2 linked regions of the Pelodiscus sinensis genome follow. The protein of the gene in region 2 purifies or fractionates together with the protein of the main gene of each other region. This does not show direct contact. Links are inferred from orthologs where the notes say so. Each region holds a gene or a part of one and is shown on either strand. Other genes may lie near its edges.

What was found. Proteins that work in one complex are often made in the same cells at the same time.
Region 1: the proteins of GPN3 (region 2) and POLR3B purify together in Homo sapiens (affinity purification with mass spectrometry; 3 studies listed by BioGRID and IntAct, counting the BioPlex papers as one, with this or other methods). This does not show direct contact. The link is inferred for Pelodiscus sinensis from reciprocal best matches to the Homo sapiens genes GPN3 and POLR3B.

The regions. Positions count from the first base shown.
Region 1 is NC_134711.1:96,922,652-96,930,752, forward strand, and holds the start of POLR3B (DNA-directed RNA polymerase III subunit RPC2), read right to left. Parts: upstream 3,052-8,101; 5' UTR 2,992-3,051; coding exon 2,920-2,991; exon of another isoform or gene 2,919-2,919; intron 1-2,918. UniProt on the Homo sapiens protein: Catalytic core component of RNA polymerase III (Pol III), a DNA-dependent RNA polymerase which synthesizes small non-coding RNAs using the four ribonucleoside triphosphates as substrates.
Region 2 is NC_134725.1:32,203,345-32,210,966, reverse strand, and holds the start of GPN3 (GPN-loop GTPase 3), read right to left. Parts: upstream 3,058-7,622; 5' UTR 2,877-3,057; coding exon 2,829-2,876; intron 2,275-2,828; coding exon 2,166-2,274; intron 1,524-2,165; coding exon 1,356-1,523; intron 1,025-1,355; coding exon 900-1,024; intron 1-899. UniProt on the Homo sapiens protein: Small GTPase required for proper localization of RNA polymerase II (RNAPII). May act at an RNAP assembly step prior to nuclear import.

The DNA.
Region 1 (8,101 bases), on a different chromosome or scaffold from region 2:
TAATCACCTGTGCAATACAAACTATAATCAAGATACTTGAAGGAACACAGTTTACATGTTTTTAAACTGACTAATTTAATAAAATACAAGCTTATAAGAAAACACCATTTAAATACTATGTCCTGATTAATTTTTTAAAAGAAAAAAAGAGACACTCCTTAAAAATGTTTTATTTTCCTATTGATGTTTATCAGGGTCTTTTCAGCGAGAGAGAGAATTATGGTCCTAATCCTACAAATACTAATATACACAGCCAAACACAAATTGCTGTCAAATGTACAAATGTGAAAACATAAAAGACTTTTTTCTTTTAACGTGTTTCAGCTGTACAGGAATCTCAGATGTTACTACAATTAAAAAATAGGTTCTAAATATTCAGACAAATGTGACTTGTGGGTTGACAGTATGTCTAACTTTACAAGTATTTCAAGATTCAAAGGCAGCAAAGATTCTTAACATTAAATAATTCAATTCTAAAATTAACTTCAAATAAATAAAAAAGAATTGTCATGGATATGTATACTGGAGTGTGGAGTCCCAGATATATTGTTTCACTAGCTTTCAAAGACATGAAATTTAGTTAATTTTTATTCCGTCATTCGTTGTTTAAGATTTTTAGTACAACTTTGTTATTCACAATTCCACAAGAGAAAAGCAAAAATCATAAAAAATAAGGGAAGCAACTTAATGTTTACATTTCAAATCTAGGGAGGAAAAATTGAATTCAAATCAAGTTCTGTTTCCCTCCCCTCTCCCCTCTCCCATGTTTAAAAGGGATACAGCAGGATTTATGACAAACTATTTTGGTATGTACAGTAAAACTCCAGTGGTCCGGCACTCCTGATGGTCCGGCATCATCTGGAACTCGGAAGTGCTCCGGGCAGCCGGACCATTGGAGCTGCTCTGCCCCCAGCTTCCCCGATTCAGCCGCTGCTTAAACTAACCAGTGGCTGACTCGGGGAAGCCGGGGGCAGAGCAGCTGGGGTGCTACCGGGTTGGTCCCGCAGCGCCGAGGGGCACAGCCCCCCAACTCCACCCAGACCCTCATAGGCCCCCTTCCTATACTCCGGCATATCTGATAATCCGGCACCCCCTGGGTCCTAAAGGTGCCGGATTATTGGAAGTTTACTGTAGTAGTTTGAACAAACATGAATGTGGAGGAAGGTGAATTCAATAAAGAGTTATAACTTTGCATGGTTTACCCTATATGATAAACTCATGCACGTCACAAGTAAAACTGGCACAAAATTAGTTTCAGGGCAGCTACAAGAGCAAATAAAATCATGATGGAACTAGTGTGCAAGTGGCAGCCTCAACCCTTTTGTGCCTACTACATATAGGCTTAATTCCATGAAGTACTGAGCATCCAACATCCCCAGGCAGGATAACCACCTTCCCTAACTGGATGGCACAGTCCCACCAACGTACGTTTCAAGTCCTGGTTCCAGGCTAAATGATTCCCATGGTGCCATTCTGCACCTACCAGAGGCTTATGGATAGCGTCAGCCTATTTAGTCAGGTGGGCTGAAGCTCTCTTTCTCCACAAGGTTTTGCCCCCTGCTCCTCCTCCCCATCCCCCGCCAGAAGCTGGTGCTAGATAGTAATAAGAGCTGCTCACAGAGCCCAGGTCCCTGTGTGGAGCCCTGGAGACTCAGACCTTGTATCCACCAGTTCCTGGGCAGCACACCCCATGGGGCAGGGACACAGGTTTGGCACCACTCTTATGGACTCTGGCTGCCCATTCAGGGCAGATGGAAGGTCTAGGGCTCCCCATAGTGACCAAAGATCCCTGGGTAGCTCTTAGCACAGTTGGCTCCAAGTTTCCAATCTGGCTGGAGGAGGGTTTCTGGTGGAAGTGGAGGACCCGCAAAAGGGAGGGTTCTTGCATGCGTCTTCTTTTTGCATTTTGAAAAGATGCTCACCCTACTTGCAAGCAAAATGCAGGACAATGTAGCACTTTAAAGACTAACAAGATGGTTTATTAGATGATGAGCTTTCGTGGGCCAGACCCACTTCCTCAGATCAAATAGGAAGTGGGTCTGGCCCACGAAAGCTCATCATCTAATAAACCATCTTGTTAGTCTTTAAAGTGCTACATTGTCCTGCATTTTGCTTCAACTACCCCCAGACTAACACGGCTACATTTCTATCACTATCCTACTTGCAAGATGAGGCTCAAAGGGAGCATATAACAAGTTAACCTTGCAATGGAATACAGTGCTGAGCTCTTTGCATTGTGCACCTTGATTTAAAGGCTACATTTCTGACACCTCCCTTCTGTCCACTAAGCCACTAGCAAAAAAAGGAACAGAGGATTAAAATCTAAAAATGCAAACCCAGACAGCACTTTTACCCTGAAGAAGGAGGAGAAGTACCAGAAATGCCACAAAGTCCGGGAGGAACACTGCTATGGCTAGCAACTTTTATGTTGCTCACGTGCTATGGTGGTGCCTGATATCTCAGCGGGGGTAATTTCACACACAGCAAAGTTGCAGCTTGAAGAAGAGGTGGCCTCAATTAGCACAAGATGTTAGATATCAGCTTGTTTCTATGATGATGGTTAGCAGGAGAAGTTGGGTGACCAGATGTCCTGATTTTATAGGGACGAGTCCCGACATGTGGGGCTTTATACAGGTGCCTGTTGTCCCCAAGCCCCGGGGGCCACCTGGCAAAGCAGCCAGCCTAGAAGAGCGAGCTCCCTCCCTTGGGAGAGAACTGGGCAGCGTGGAAAAGCCGGCGGAGCCCCGCGCATGCGCCACAGCTGACTCGGGGACTCGGTCTCCAGAGCCCCGAAAGCCCCCTGCAGCCGCACCATGGGGCGACGCGCATGCGCAGCAGGGGGCACAGCTCGCGGGGGCTCCGCTGCTCGGGGCCCGCCCCTCCTCTGCGGGCTGGCGGCGCCTTCACCCCCTCGCTCACCTCCACCGTGTTCACGGGAGCCGCCGCCTGCTCCGGGGTCAGAGTCCCCAGCTCTACCGCTAACGCGTCCATGGCGAGCGCGGCAGAGAGGCGAGCCGGGAGGGACACGGCAGCTGGCGGACGCTCCCCGCGAGGGACACGCTGTGCGACGACGAAACCTGCCCCCTCTACAACAAGAGGCGCTGCGGAATCGTTCCGTCTCTTTTAACGGCCCGGGGGAGGGGGGAACGCGCCCGCACTGTGCGAGCAGCTTCTCCCGGCTCAGGGGCCCGGAAGCTGCCTGAGTGAAAATGTCCCACTGAAGCGTCCTGGGGTGGGGGGAGGGGTGCAGCAGGCTCTCCTCTAAAATCAGCTCCCCAATCCCACCCACACTCCCAGCCAGGCCTGGGTGGGGGTTGAGTGCGGCATGTGCCACGGAAAGTTAAACTTCTGCTGTTCAGCCACCAGGGGGCGCGGTATCGTGCCGGGCAGAGCATCGCAGGCTCCGTCGGAACGCACCTGGTACAAAGCCAGCACGTAGCCCCTGCATAATTGTGTGGCAATATTATTCCAGTAGACGAGTCCCTTGGTTACTGTTTGCTGGACACTGTATTGCATGGGAAAGCCGCTGTTACCGTCTCTGTAAAGTCGGGAAGAACAAATGAGCCAGAGTTGTAGTCTGCACTTTTCCCCCCCCCCCCCCTTAGCAGTCGGCTAGGATTTCAGAGGGTTAAGAACTAAAATAGTCTCTCAAATACTAGGCAAACCAACAAACTCCAACTTTGACCTTCTGCAGAGAACAAAGGTTTGAAAGTGCCGATGCAGTCCCATTATCTTCTAAGGGTAAGTTTATATTCTGCAAAGCGACAATGTCAGTATGCAACAGTCGTGATATTTTTTCCAGTTTTAATGCTGTGGTGCTCTCAGCACTTCAGTTATTTCCAATTTTATGTTCACAATACTGTGGTGAGGTAACAAATTACTGTAATCTCCGTTTTGTAAATGAGGAACAAGAAAAGTGATTTGCTCTCATCTCCTGAATCCTACACTGATGTACTTTAATCACAAAACTCTCCACAACAAGCATTGCAGTTTTCCTCAAGAACTTTTTAGGTTTGGAATTGCAAGGCCACCTATCGACTCAATGTATTGAGCCTTATATGTGGATTTTTGGGATTCTCAAGAGAAGCTCAGAAGAATACACACAAATCACATTCCTGTCTTTCAGTGGAGGTGGATTTTCCAGTTGAATAAAACAACTGTTTACTAGAAGCATCAACATGCACAATAAAAGTCCCTATGTTGATCTTGTGTTAAAAGATGTATGTAATAATGTTTAGGCATCATTCAGAAGCAAGGTCACACTGGAGACTTAAACAAATCACTGTATGCTTTCTAAGAAGACGATAGTCATATTTCAATAATAGTTTGCACCTCTGATGCACCCAAGGATCTCTACTATGCAAACGAGTAAGGAATACAGGAATTGCCACATCCTCTGTTCCATTATTCTGATATCATGTCTGGTGCTCATAAATGGCCAATACCAGATGTTCAGAATAAAGTGCAAGGAATACCACGGTTGAAAATTACATAATAACTTGCCCCAGGGGAAGAGTTTCTTCTTAAACTTAGTAGTTAGCTTATTCTGTAAAGGAGGAGATTAGATATCCTAACACTTTTATCCTACTTTATACAACTACGAATGTTCTTATCATCCATTTTTAATCTTAAGTACTTGTCCTCAGTGATATTTTGTTGGTAATGAGTTCCACCCATACCCCCTAAAAACACATCCCAGTTTTTAACATCTTTGGATAAAACAAATAGAATCATTAGTGCATGCTGTTGTTTTCCTCAGATAGATGACAACCAAGTGGGATAGTTAAAGATGCAAGGCCAAGCAGGCTGTGGAGTTTGCAGTAAACTGTTTTATTACTATTAGAATTCTGAAGGCTGTGTAAGTCAATAGTGTTAAACTAACAGTTAGTTTGGACCAGAGTTATTTCTTTAAAAACTGACATGTTGTGAACTGGTTTTACAAGTGATGGATGCTGCTTTATAGTAAACATTTCTAGAAGCATTAGGTCAGAGACATCTAACCTACAATATGAATGAAAACATTTAAAAGGGAAATAAATCAATCCATGCAGTTGATGGGCTCTTAACTCAGAAACAGGAAACCTTGATTTAAATAATCAGTTACAGTCTTGTTTTGTATTTACATTTTTTTAGTTATTTTTCCTCAAGAAAAGCTGGTTTGGACTGGTTGGTAATCCCTGGGGGGAAAAAAACTATTTTAAACTAAATATAACCTTTACAAAAAAATTTAAGATGGGGGGGGGGGGGGTTGTACTAAACTAGGCCTCTGTGTGTGTGTTTATACACAACACACACTTATTTTAACAATTATATAGCTTAATATACCTGTATTCAGTGTTTATTTTTACATTTATGTTAATACATCATTCATCCTTTTCTATTTACCAGTTAATTTAACTTGTGGTTTGTGTCAAGATTCATTTTGCAATAATGTATCAAATAGCTGAATGCATTACATTTAAACTGAGAAGCAGCTTGCATGAATGACTTCTCACCAAAGGTTTATCATAAACTTTTAATGCCTACAAAAAAATGCACATCACAAAAATTCATTTGTACTTCATCTACTAAAGCTGCTGCTACATAATTTGCCTGTTTTCAAGAAACAAAATTCAGATTGGAAGTTGCATGCTCATAGTTCAAATGTAACAGACAAAAGTTAGAAGAAACATCTACATCCAAATCATTATTAAAATGTATCCTAATTGTAATGTTTAAGTCATCACCAACATATACCATGCTATAAAATGCCCTTTTAAAAAGTCAAATGCAAGCAAATTATTGTATCCTCATTTTCTAGTAGGAAGTTACAGTGACAATTTCCCAGAGAGATTAGAGGTTTCTAAACTAAAATATGTTCCAACAGGTCTCAAAGTAAATTTTTTTTGTGTAGAAAATTTTTCTAGGAAGTTTAGAAAGATAAATCACTATGATAAAAAAGTGTTACGATACAATTTTTGTACATGTTAAAAATAAAATCTTTTCTTTAGGCCCAGCGCACAAATTTAGATTTCCCAAGGTTAGGGAATTACTAAGAGAACTCTCCTTTTCAGCTTTTGGGATATATTCGTCTCTTGATACATATGAATTATGTATGTAAGCCCCATATTCATGAAGATAACAATGTACTACTTCACAATGTAACAAGCGTGCAAGTAAGAACTCCTTTCAATTTTGAGTTTCTCAAATTGAAAAATCTGTACTCATCTATTTGATGCGATATTTTTAACAAGGTATAAAGATGAAATGGCGTGAGGAGTCATTGAGAAGTGTTGCAATTTGAGACCTTTTAGTCTCCCTTCACTCCCATGTGAACATAGAGAGAATTTCAGTAGTAGTTTTTGACAGGTGTCCAAAAGAATGTTCACTTAATACATGGGTCTGCTATTGCTTAGTCCCACATGGAAACAAACAAAAAACAAAATTAAAAATCCTGCTTTGTTTTTCCTGGGAGATCAGTACTAGTCTGAGACATTGTCTAAAAAGCATATTTCCCTGTTCAAACAAACAAGCCTATTTCTGTAAAAAAGGAGATTGGACTAAAACCCATAGTGCTACTAATACCCAGATGTTTTAGATCTTCATGAGAAATACACCAGTTGTACTGTATCTTTATATATTATGTATGGCACATTAATCCTATATGGGCAAAGTTTATTTTTAATTAAAAATATACTGTATATAAAACATTAGGAAGATACTTGGAAACTTGTACCAGACAAAGTTTATATTTTTGACATTTAAAAATAGGACTAATTCACTATAATAGTCTCAAATACTATCATTATATATTTGATTAATTCTGATCAAGATAGAAACATTTTACATTGAATATTTCAGCACTCATCTCCAATAATGTGAGAGATGCAAAATAATGTGTGTACATTGTGTAGACTTCTAGAAGCTTATTCCTATATCAAAGGTCCAATTCAACAGTCTCTGCAAGACCTCAGTGACTTTATAGGGCCTGCTCCAAAGCCCATTCATGACAGTATGGCTGTGTCTACACTACACCCCTTTTCCGGAAAAGGGATGCAGATGAGACAAGTCGGAATTGCAAATGAAGCGGGGATTTACATCTCCCCCACTCCATTTGCATGAACATGGCTGCCGCTTTTTTCCGGCTCGGGGCTTTGCCGGAAAAAAGCGCCAGTCTAGACGGGGAACTTTCGGAAAATAAAGTCTTTTCCAAAAGGTCCCTTATTCCTCTTAAAAATCAGGAATAAGGGACCTTTCGGAAAAGGCTTTATTTTCCAAAAGATCCCATCTAGACTGACGCTTTTTTCCAGCAAAGCCCCGAGCAGGAAAAAAACAGCAGCCATGTTCATGCAAATGGAGCGGGGGAGATGTAAATCCCCGCTTCATTTGCAATTCCGATTTGTCTCATCTGCATCCCTTTTCCGGAAAAGGGATGCAGTGTAGACACAGCCTATGAGTCTAAGGTCTCAGGTCAACTTTCAAGCTGCAGTATTGGCCTAATTCATATGGAATTAATAGCTTTTGGCTTAAATTTTTAGAAATCAGTGATTTTTAATGCTGAACTTGAGACCCAAGAAAACTGAAGCATCCAGTGTCAGTGAATAAAACCATTACTCGCTTTTGAAATTTAGGTCCTGCTCCAGCAAGACATTTAAATATATGTTTAACTTTAAACTCAAATTGTTCCATTGACGTCAATAAGGCTACTCTTGTGCATAAATGCTTTCAAAATCAGAGGTTTAAAAAGTCCCAATTCAGAGGTGCCTAAGCACCTCTAAAGATCAAAGGTGCAACCACTGTATATTAAAAAAAAAAAAAAAAAAAAGCAGATTAGGTCTCCAAATTTTAATTAAAGGACAATATGACCTCTAATAGGTAACTTTTTTTTTGTTTGTCTAAGGAAATGGAAGTCAGCATCCAAGTTAGTTTTCCAAGGAATACAAATGTTTAAACTGTCATCTTTAAGTATTGGATCACATTAATTCTGAAATGTTTCTATTTTGCAAGCCCATATTCACACTATCATTGGTAAACTTAACACCAATACAGTAATGTTGGCATGTACTAGGGAAATGTATGCCAAATTCTGATCTTCAAAAACACACTAGGATTTGACCTAATT
Region 2 (7,622 bases):
GGTGAATGAAGATACAGGGTCTCTCCCCTTCTGTACTATACTTTTTTCCAACTTACTCCATCAGCCTTTTTCACCCAGTCTTGTGCATATATGCACAACTTACCCTACAGCCTCATTTCTGTCTTTTGCTAGTTTTGCCCCTACTAGCAACAGACAGATATGAAATGTAGGAGGCAAAGCAATGTCTAAGGACATTGTTAGGTCAGAAGCCAACCTACTTCTGGGCGAGTTCTAGGATTCCCATCTCAGTGTATCCCTTACTTCAGGAACTTCATTTTTCAAGTACCAATTTTGCTCATTTTACAGGTTAATTGATACAGTGAACAGTCAGCATTCAAGGATTTTTCGCAGATCTCATGACTCCCATTTCCTACCCACACCTCCATAGACTATTAGGCCATAAAGAATATTTAAGTTTACAAAAGAGTGACAATGGAGAGGTGAAAAATGCTATGATTGCTTTTGAATTAGGGATGTAACAGTACAGTCGATTAACTGATAAGCAAAAGCTTATAGGTTAATGCTATAGACTACACTCATTGCCCCCACCCCCCGCCAGTAAAATTTTTAGCAGGCTGGCCAGCAGCCCAGCTTAGCCCTGGCTTGCACTGGGTCCTGGACCTACCCCCACTGCAGCTCTGCATTTAAAGTTTATTAGAAGCTAGGCAGCCCGGCTCAGTTCCGGTTTGTGCCGGGTCTGGGAGCTCAGACTCCTCCCCCCCGGACAGGGGCTGCCTGGGGACTATAGAATAGTCGACTAACCAATAAGAATTCATGAGGTTAATTGACTATTCAATTCACCAATATTTAACATCCATATTCTGAATATAGTTATTCATTTCTCCAGATTGTTCATCTGTAAATTAAAAACTTTGTTACAATCAATTTAAAACTCCTACCTTAAAAGATTCCACCATAAACTGAGAATCAACAAGAAAAACTCCACAGACACGAAATTCCCACTGTTGCAGCTGCTCCACCAGCTGTTTCATCATTGGCAAATGAGTATAAAGTTCAATCTGACCTAGGACACATACATAATTAATATGCAGGAGTGTAAAGCTAATGCTGAGACAGTAATAGCATATTAGTTCATCAAATACCATTATAGTAGATAGGCAGAAGATATTGCTATTAAAATTAGTGAAATCTAGCACAGAATGTGTGATAGCATTATCTAAAAAGAAGTATTTGCTCTTGGACAGTTTTAAACAAAATAATATGTTTCATTTTGGCACTAAACCACATAACAGTTAAAAAAGGCTTTATCTGCAAATGATCAAATACATGCAAAAAAAATCTACACATCAGATAAGAAAAAAAATTAAGTCACCAGAATATAAAAGCTTGTTTACCTGGGCAATCAAAGAGTATGTAGTCATCCTCCACATGGCCAAGACAATCCTCAAGCCAATCAAAGTTATTGGCAAAGTATTCCATGCAAAACACTAAACCACCATTGGGACCAAACCTTAAGTTGTCATCTTCCATAACATCATCTACTTCAATTAATTCTCGAATGTCTAGAATAAAAAGTGCATGTTTTGTGTTTTTTTCAACACTTCATAAATAAATTCCAGAAGCAAATTCCTACAAGTTTAAATCTCCAAATGATCTTCGCCAACTAAATTTGTTTCACGTGCTGCCCCAGCTCTCCCATCCCCCATGCCTTTTGCCAATTTTTGTGATTTTACAGTCACAAATTCCTGGGTTTTTTTTAAAGTGTTGTTTCTTTTCTCCATTCCTTCAAACAGACAAAAAAAATGTATATATAGGGGGAAACCAGAACACTGACTATTTCTAAAAGGTTTGTAAAATACTGCTATAGATTCAGGAAAAATATTGTATAGGTCCTACTAATATTGCCTCAAAATACCATAGTTTTGTGTGTGTGTGTATAATATATATATATATATATATATATATATCCTTTTATTAAAAAATAAAAATCAGATTTAAAATCGGGAGAGTGCTGTAAGTCAAATCGGAACAGCTTTGACATGCAGACAGGTCAAATTTGAATTAAATTTGAATTTGTCATTAAAAAGAAAACTCGATATTCAAGCCTGATTCAGCCTGTGTAAGAACTGTTCTATTCTCTATCCATTTTCAGCAGTTCGGAGAGTACAGGAAATTAAGAAACAATGCACCCAAACACAACTCACCAGCCATCACAGGATAATTGAAGTATTCTGCTGCAGGGTCCAGGTTAACAACTTGCACTGAGCGGTTTAGGGCTGCACAATGCTGAACCATGGTGGAACAGTAAGTGCTCTGTAATTTAAATAGGAATCTTATTACCCACTGAAAGTACCTAAAAGTTGCAATTTTATACCTGAAAGTAGAGGCAACAGTCTTAATATTGAAAGCAGGAGTCTGGGAATCTGAATACCCGAATTCCATTCCCAGCTCTGCCTGACGTAACCGTCCAACATATGCAGCACTTCCCCTCTATGCCTGAGTATCCCTGGCTGTGAAAGGGGGATAACACCTCCTCTGTACAGCACCGTCCAGTCTCCCGATGAAAGGAGCGATGCAAACGCAATGCAAAGGGTTATCTGTAGGCTACCACAAAGGACTATTTTATCAGAAGAGTCACCGCCACTTTACACCATGTCAGATTGCAAGAAACGCCAACGGGAGTACACGGCAACTTCCACTTAAGCCGCCTCATAACCCTCCACTTACCCCCACGCCTCCAAGTACTTACCCATGCCTCAGTTTCCCATGCCTCAGTTTCCTCAATTACCCCAACCCCTTATGCCCCGCCCCCATTCCCGCCGCACGCCCCGGGTCCACCCTCGGTACAAGGCGAAGGGTGGTCTCACCTTCCCACTGCCCGCCGGGCCCATGACCAGCTGGGCGAAGCGGGGCATGGCTGCTGCTCAGTTTCTCCAACGCAGCGCGGAGACAGCAGGGACCGAGCGAAAGGAACTGACCCCTCCGCGATCCCGTAGCGTGGCGGATACGCCGTATTCGCACACTAGAGCTCCTCGGATACGGAGCGTCCCAAAGCTCAAACTTCCTATAGAGGCCGAATCGCCCCGTTCGGCTCCTGGAGAGGACGTGGAAGACTATTCCTGCGCACGCGCGGAGACGCTTTGCTGGCGGAGTGGGCTGTTGGGCGGGGCGCCGAGGCTCGTACCTGGGTTAACCTAGTGGGTCACAGGCGTCTGGGCGGCAGGTCCGCAGAAACTGGCGGTGCCCAGAGCCCGCAACCCCTCCCCCCCCCAGATCCGCCCTCCCGCCTACGCCTCTCGGTGGGGAGGATGGAGTTTGGGTGCGGGAGGAGGAGTGGGGAGGATGGAGTTTGGGTGAGGGAGGAGGAGTGGGGGGTGCAGTTTGGGTGAGGGAGGGAGAGTGGGGGGGTGCAGTTTGGGTGAGGGAGGGAGAGTGGGGGGGGATGCAGTTTGGGTGCGGGAGGAGGAGTGGGGGGGTGCAGTTTGGGTGCGGGAGGAGGAGTGGGGGGGGTGCAGTTTGGGTGCGGGAGGAGGAGTGGGGGGGGTGCAGTTTGGGTGCGGGAGGAGGAGTGGGGGGGGTGCAGTTTGGGTGCGGGAGGAGGAGTGGGGGGGGTGCAGTTTGGGTGAGGGAGGGAGAGTGGGGGGGATGCAGTTTGGGTGAGGGAGGGAGAGTGGGGGGGATGCAGTTTGGGTGCGGGAGGAGGAGTGGGGGGGGTGCAGTTTGGGTGCGGGAGGAGGAGTGGGGGGGGTGCAGTTTGGGTGCGGGAGGAGGAGTGGGGGGGGTGCAGTTTGGGTGCGGGAGGAGGAGTGGGGGGGGTGCAGTTTGGGTGCGGGAGGAGGAGTGGGGGGGGTGCAGTTTGGGTGAGGGAGGGAGAGTGGGGGGGATGCAGTTTGGGTGAGGGAGGGAGAGTGGGGGGGATGCAGTTTGGGTGAGGGAGGGAGAGTGGGGGGGATGCAGTTTGGGTGCGGGAGGAGGAGTGGGGGGGTGCAGTTTGGGTGAGGGAGGGAGAGTGGGGGGGATGCAGTTTGGGTGCGGGAGGAGGAGTGGGGGGGATGCAGTTTGGGTGCGGGAGGAGGAGTGGGGGGGGTGCAGTTTGGGTGAGGGAGGGAGAGTGGGGGGGATGCAGTTTGGGTGCGGGAGGAGGAGTGGGGGGGATGCAGTTTGGGTGCGGGAGGAGGAGTGGGGGGGGTGCAGTTTGGGTGAGGGAGGGAGAGTGGGGGGGATGCAGTTTGGGTGAGGGAGGGAGAGTGGGGGGGATGCAGTTTGGGTGCGGGAGGAGGAGTGGGGGGGTGCAGTTTGGGTGAGGGAGGGAGAGTGGGGGGGTGCAGTTTGGGTGCGGGAGGGAGAGTGGGGGGGGTGCAATTTGGGTGCTGGTGCAGCCTCTGGGCTGGGCCAGTGGATGTAAGAAGGGGTGAGGGGTTACAGGCTTTGGAATGGAGTGAGGTGCGAGAACAGGTGTGGAGGGAGAGGGTACATGTTATAGTGCTGGGCTTCTCAATATGTGGCCCATGGGCCATATGCGGCGCTCAGCCCGTTTGTTTGCGGCCAGTGGTGTGGTTTGGATTTACGCAGGGCTCAATATGCGGCCTGCAGGTGAGAGCCCCCCCCCAAAAAAAGTAGTCAATATAATGGTTTTTTGGTGATATGCGTTTTAGTAGTTTAAGTCCTGGACTGTCATTGCTCACTAAAAGTGCTGTCCTATGGATGGAAATCGGGTAAATATTGCATTTTATTAATATCAGCACAACTGACTTAAATGGGGCCTGTGTGTTATGTGGTCTTGCTTAATCTTTGTATTCATGCCCAAAATGTGAAAGAAGCTGAGTGTATATATATTTGCATGTATATGCAACCACATTTAAGTTTCAGCCCTCAGCTAGGGTTGCCAGGTGTCTGGTTTTGAACCGGACAGTCCGGTATTTGAGCTTTCTGTCCGGGAAACAAATTGAGAAAATACCCGACATATAAATGTCCAGTATTTTCTAATTAAGTAAGTTTTATTGTTATCCTGAGTATCAGTACAAAGTTGCATAGTGCGTGAACGTGTCTACCAGCCAGGCAGTACACAGCTACGCAGTAGGGAGGAGGGGGCGGGGGTGAGGCGGGATGGAATCTCTGGGGTCGGACTCACTCATGCACCCTGCCGGGACCATGCACGGGATGGGCAGCACTCCAGGATCTGTGTGTGCCCAAACCAGCCCTCTCCCCACCAGCCAGTTCTTCCCCTCTGACCCCTCCTCCCCCGCCCGGCCAGTCCTGCTCCCTGCCTGCCAGTCGTCTCCCCCGCACCGCCGCAGTCAGCCCCGCTCCCCTCCGACCCTCTCCCGGACAGCCCTGCTTCCCACCAGCTGGTTCCTTTCCCCCAATCTCCCCCAGCCAGCCCTGCTCCTCCCGACCCCCTCCCAGCCAGCCCCGCTCTCCACCAGCTGGTCCGCCTCCCAATACCCCTATTTCCCCTGGCCAGCCCCACCCCCGCCAACCTTCTCCTGGCCAGCCTTGCTTCCCACCAGCTGGTTCCTTCCCCCAATTTCCCCTGGACAGCCCTGCTCCTCCCGACCCCCTCCTGGCCAGCCCAGCTCTCCGCTGGCCAGCCTCCACCCCAAAATCACCCCGGCTAGCCTCGCTCCCCCTGACCCCTTCCTGGCCAGCCCTGCTTCCTGCCAGCCATTCTCCCCCTCCCCCCACCATCAGATCTGCTCCTCCTATCCTCCCCGCCCAGCCCTGCTTCCCGCCAGCCAGTTGCCCCCTGCCCCCGATCAGCCCTGCTCCCCCGAACCCCTCCCAGCTGGTTCCTCCCCTCCCCCCATTCTGAGATCTTGTATGTCTGATATTATTTTGAAAGCCATCTGGTAACCCTACCCTCAGCATGTGCGGTAGGTATCATTGTGGCTCCCAGGACTTCCAAAGTTGAGTCACCTTGGTGTAACGCTTAGCTGTGGCACCCAGGAGTGGGGACTGGGAGTCTCTGTGTTCTGCTGCCAAAGATGGCTTTCAAAAAAATATCGGACACACATGATCTCTGTAGTGTAGACAAGGGCTTAGCTTCTGAAACTTTTGGGTACCATTGGCTCACATTTTGTACCTTTTCTCTGCAACATGAGAGCTAGAAAGATGCAAGCTGAGAGTCTCAACGTGATGGACCCCCTGATGCTTTATGAAATGGACTTATGGGTACAAATGTACATAACTCCAAAGTGCTTTGAGCAAATTACTTCATGTAACCTATCAATCTTCATATCTTAATCTGCTAGATCTGTTCATCTCATTTTGGTATGTGTGTCATTCTTGTGTATAAAATTAGACATATGGACTGGGGAATGCTTTATGGTTTTAAATGTGTGAATGAATAGCATTAAAGATGCAATGTCTTGATGACCAACTTGATGACCAACACTTTCTTTTGTCCTTTAAGTCTTAGCAGTGGTTGGTCTGGGAAAGTCACATGTTCACCCCAACTGGCCAGGTGAATTCCCAGGAGGGAATCTTTAAAAACAATAGGAAGGTAGTAGTCTGGGTCTTTGGGCTGGTTGGGCAGATGTGAAGAGGGTGAACTAAAGGCTCCAAGGTGAGGGACAGCCCTGGTTTGGAAGGTTGTGCTGGAAATGAGACAGTTTTAGGGTGAGTTTATAGTTTGTTCTGAGGATTTTAGTTAGTGTCAGAATTAGCTTAGCAGTTTTTGTTACGTTTGATTTGTAATCTACTTTGCTCTGCCTGTTCTCACTTACTACCACTTAAATCAGGGCTACTCAACTTTGGAAGCCCCGAGCGTCACAATGATACTCACAGCACATGCAGTGGGCCACAGCTTAAGTGTGGTTGCATATACATGTAAATATATATGCAAGTATATGCAAATAACTTCTTTCACGCTTATTGGCATGAAAACAAAGATTTAAGTTGTGGCGCTAGACCCAAACATGGCCAGTGTGAGCCAGTCAGCACTTTTTAGATTCTGCCCACAAGGCTAAGTAGCCAGCACTTCCCACAATGCCCCAGCTCCTGACACCTCCTCTCTGGGGACTAGAAACACTGACACTCTGTACCCATCTGGTCCAGCCAGCCTGTCCACTTGTGTCTTTCAGTGCTCACCCCGCATGGAAGATGCCTCGTCATTGTGGAGTGTGTTCCCAATAGAGGCCACGTTCAAAGGATCCCACCTGCAGACCGCGTGTTGAGCCACATAAACCCAAATCAGACCACAGGCCACAAATAAATGGGCCATGAGCCACATGTGACCCACAAGCCATGTGCTGAGTAGCCCTGACTTAAATCCTACTGCTTGTTGTTAATAAAAACACTTTATTTTCTATCAAGCCCAATGAAAATAATTTTTACCTGGCAGGGAGGGGCAACCAGTGTGTACATTTCCCCTTTCATTGCTAAAGGGAGCTTACCCAAGTAATTCATTGGTGGGTTTTGATCCCATTTGGGGAGTGGTATCTCAGGAAGCTGGGGCCTAAACTGGCCTTTCCTTGGACCAGAAGAGATTCAGTATCTTTACTGCTTCCTGGGGGCAGAGGAGGGCACTGATCTCAGCAAGGTATCTTGGCTGAGGGAGACCAGGAAGCTGGCCCTGCAGGATAGGTGGTGAGGAGGCCCAGAGAGTGGGAAAGCAAATGGCAGTGGCCCTGTCAGCACTCCTGGAAGCCCCTCCCCCAGGG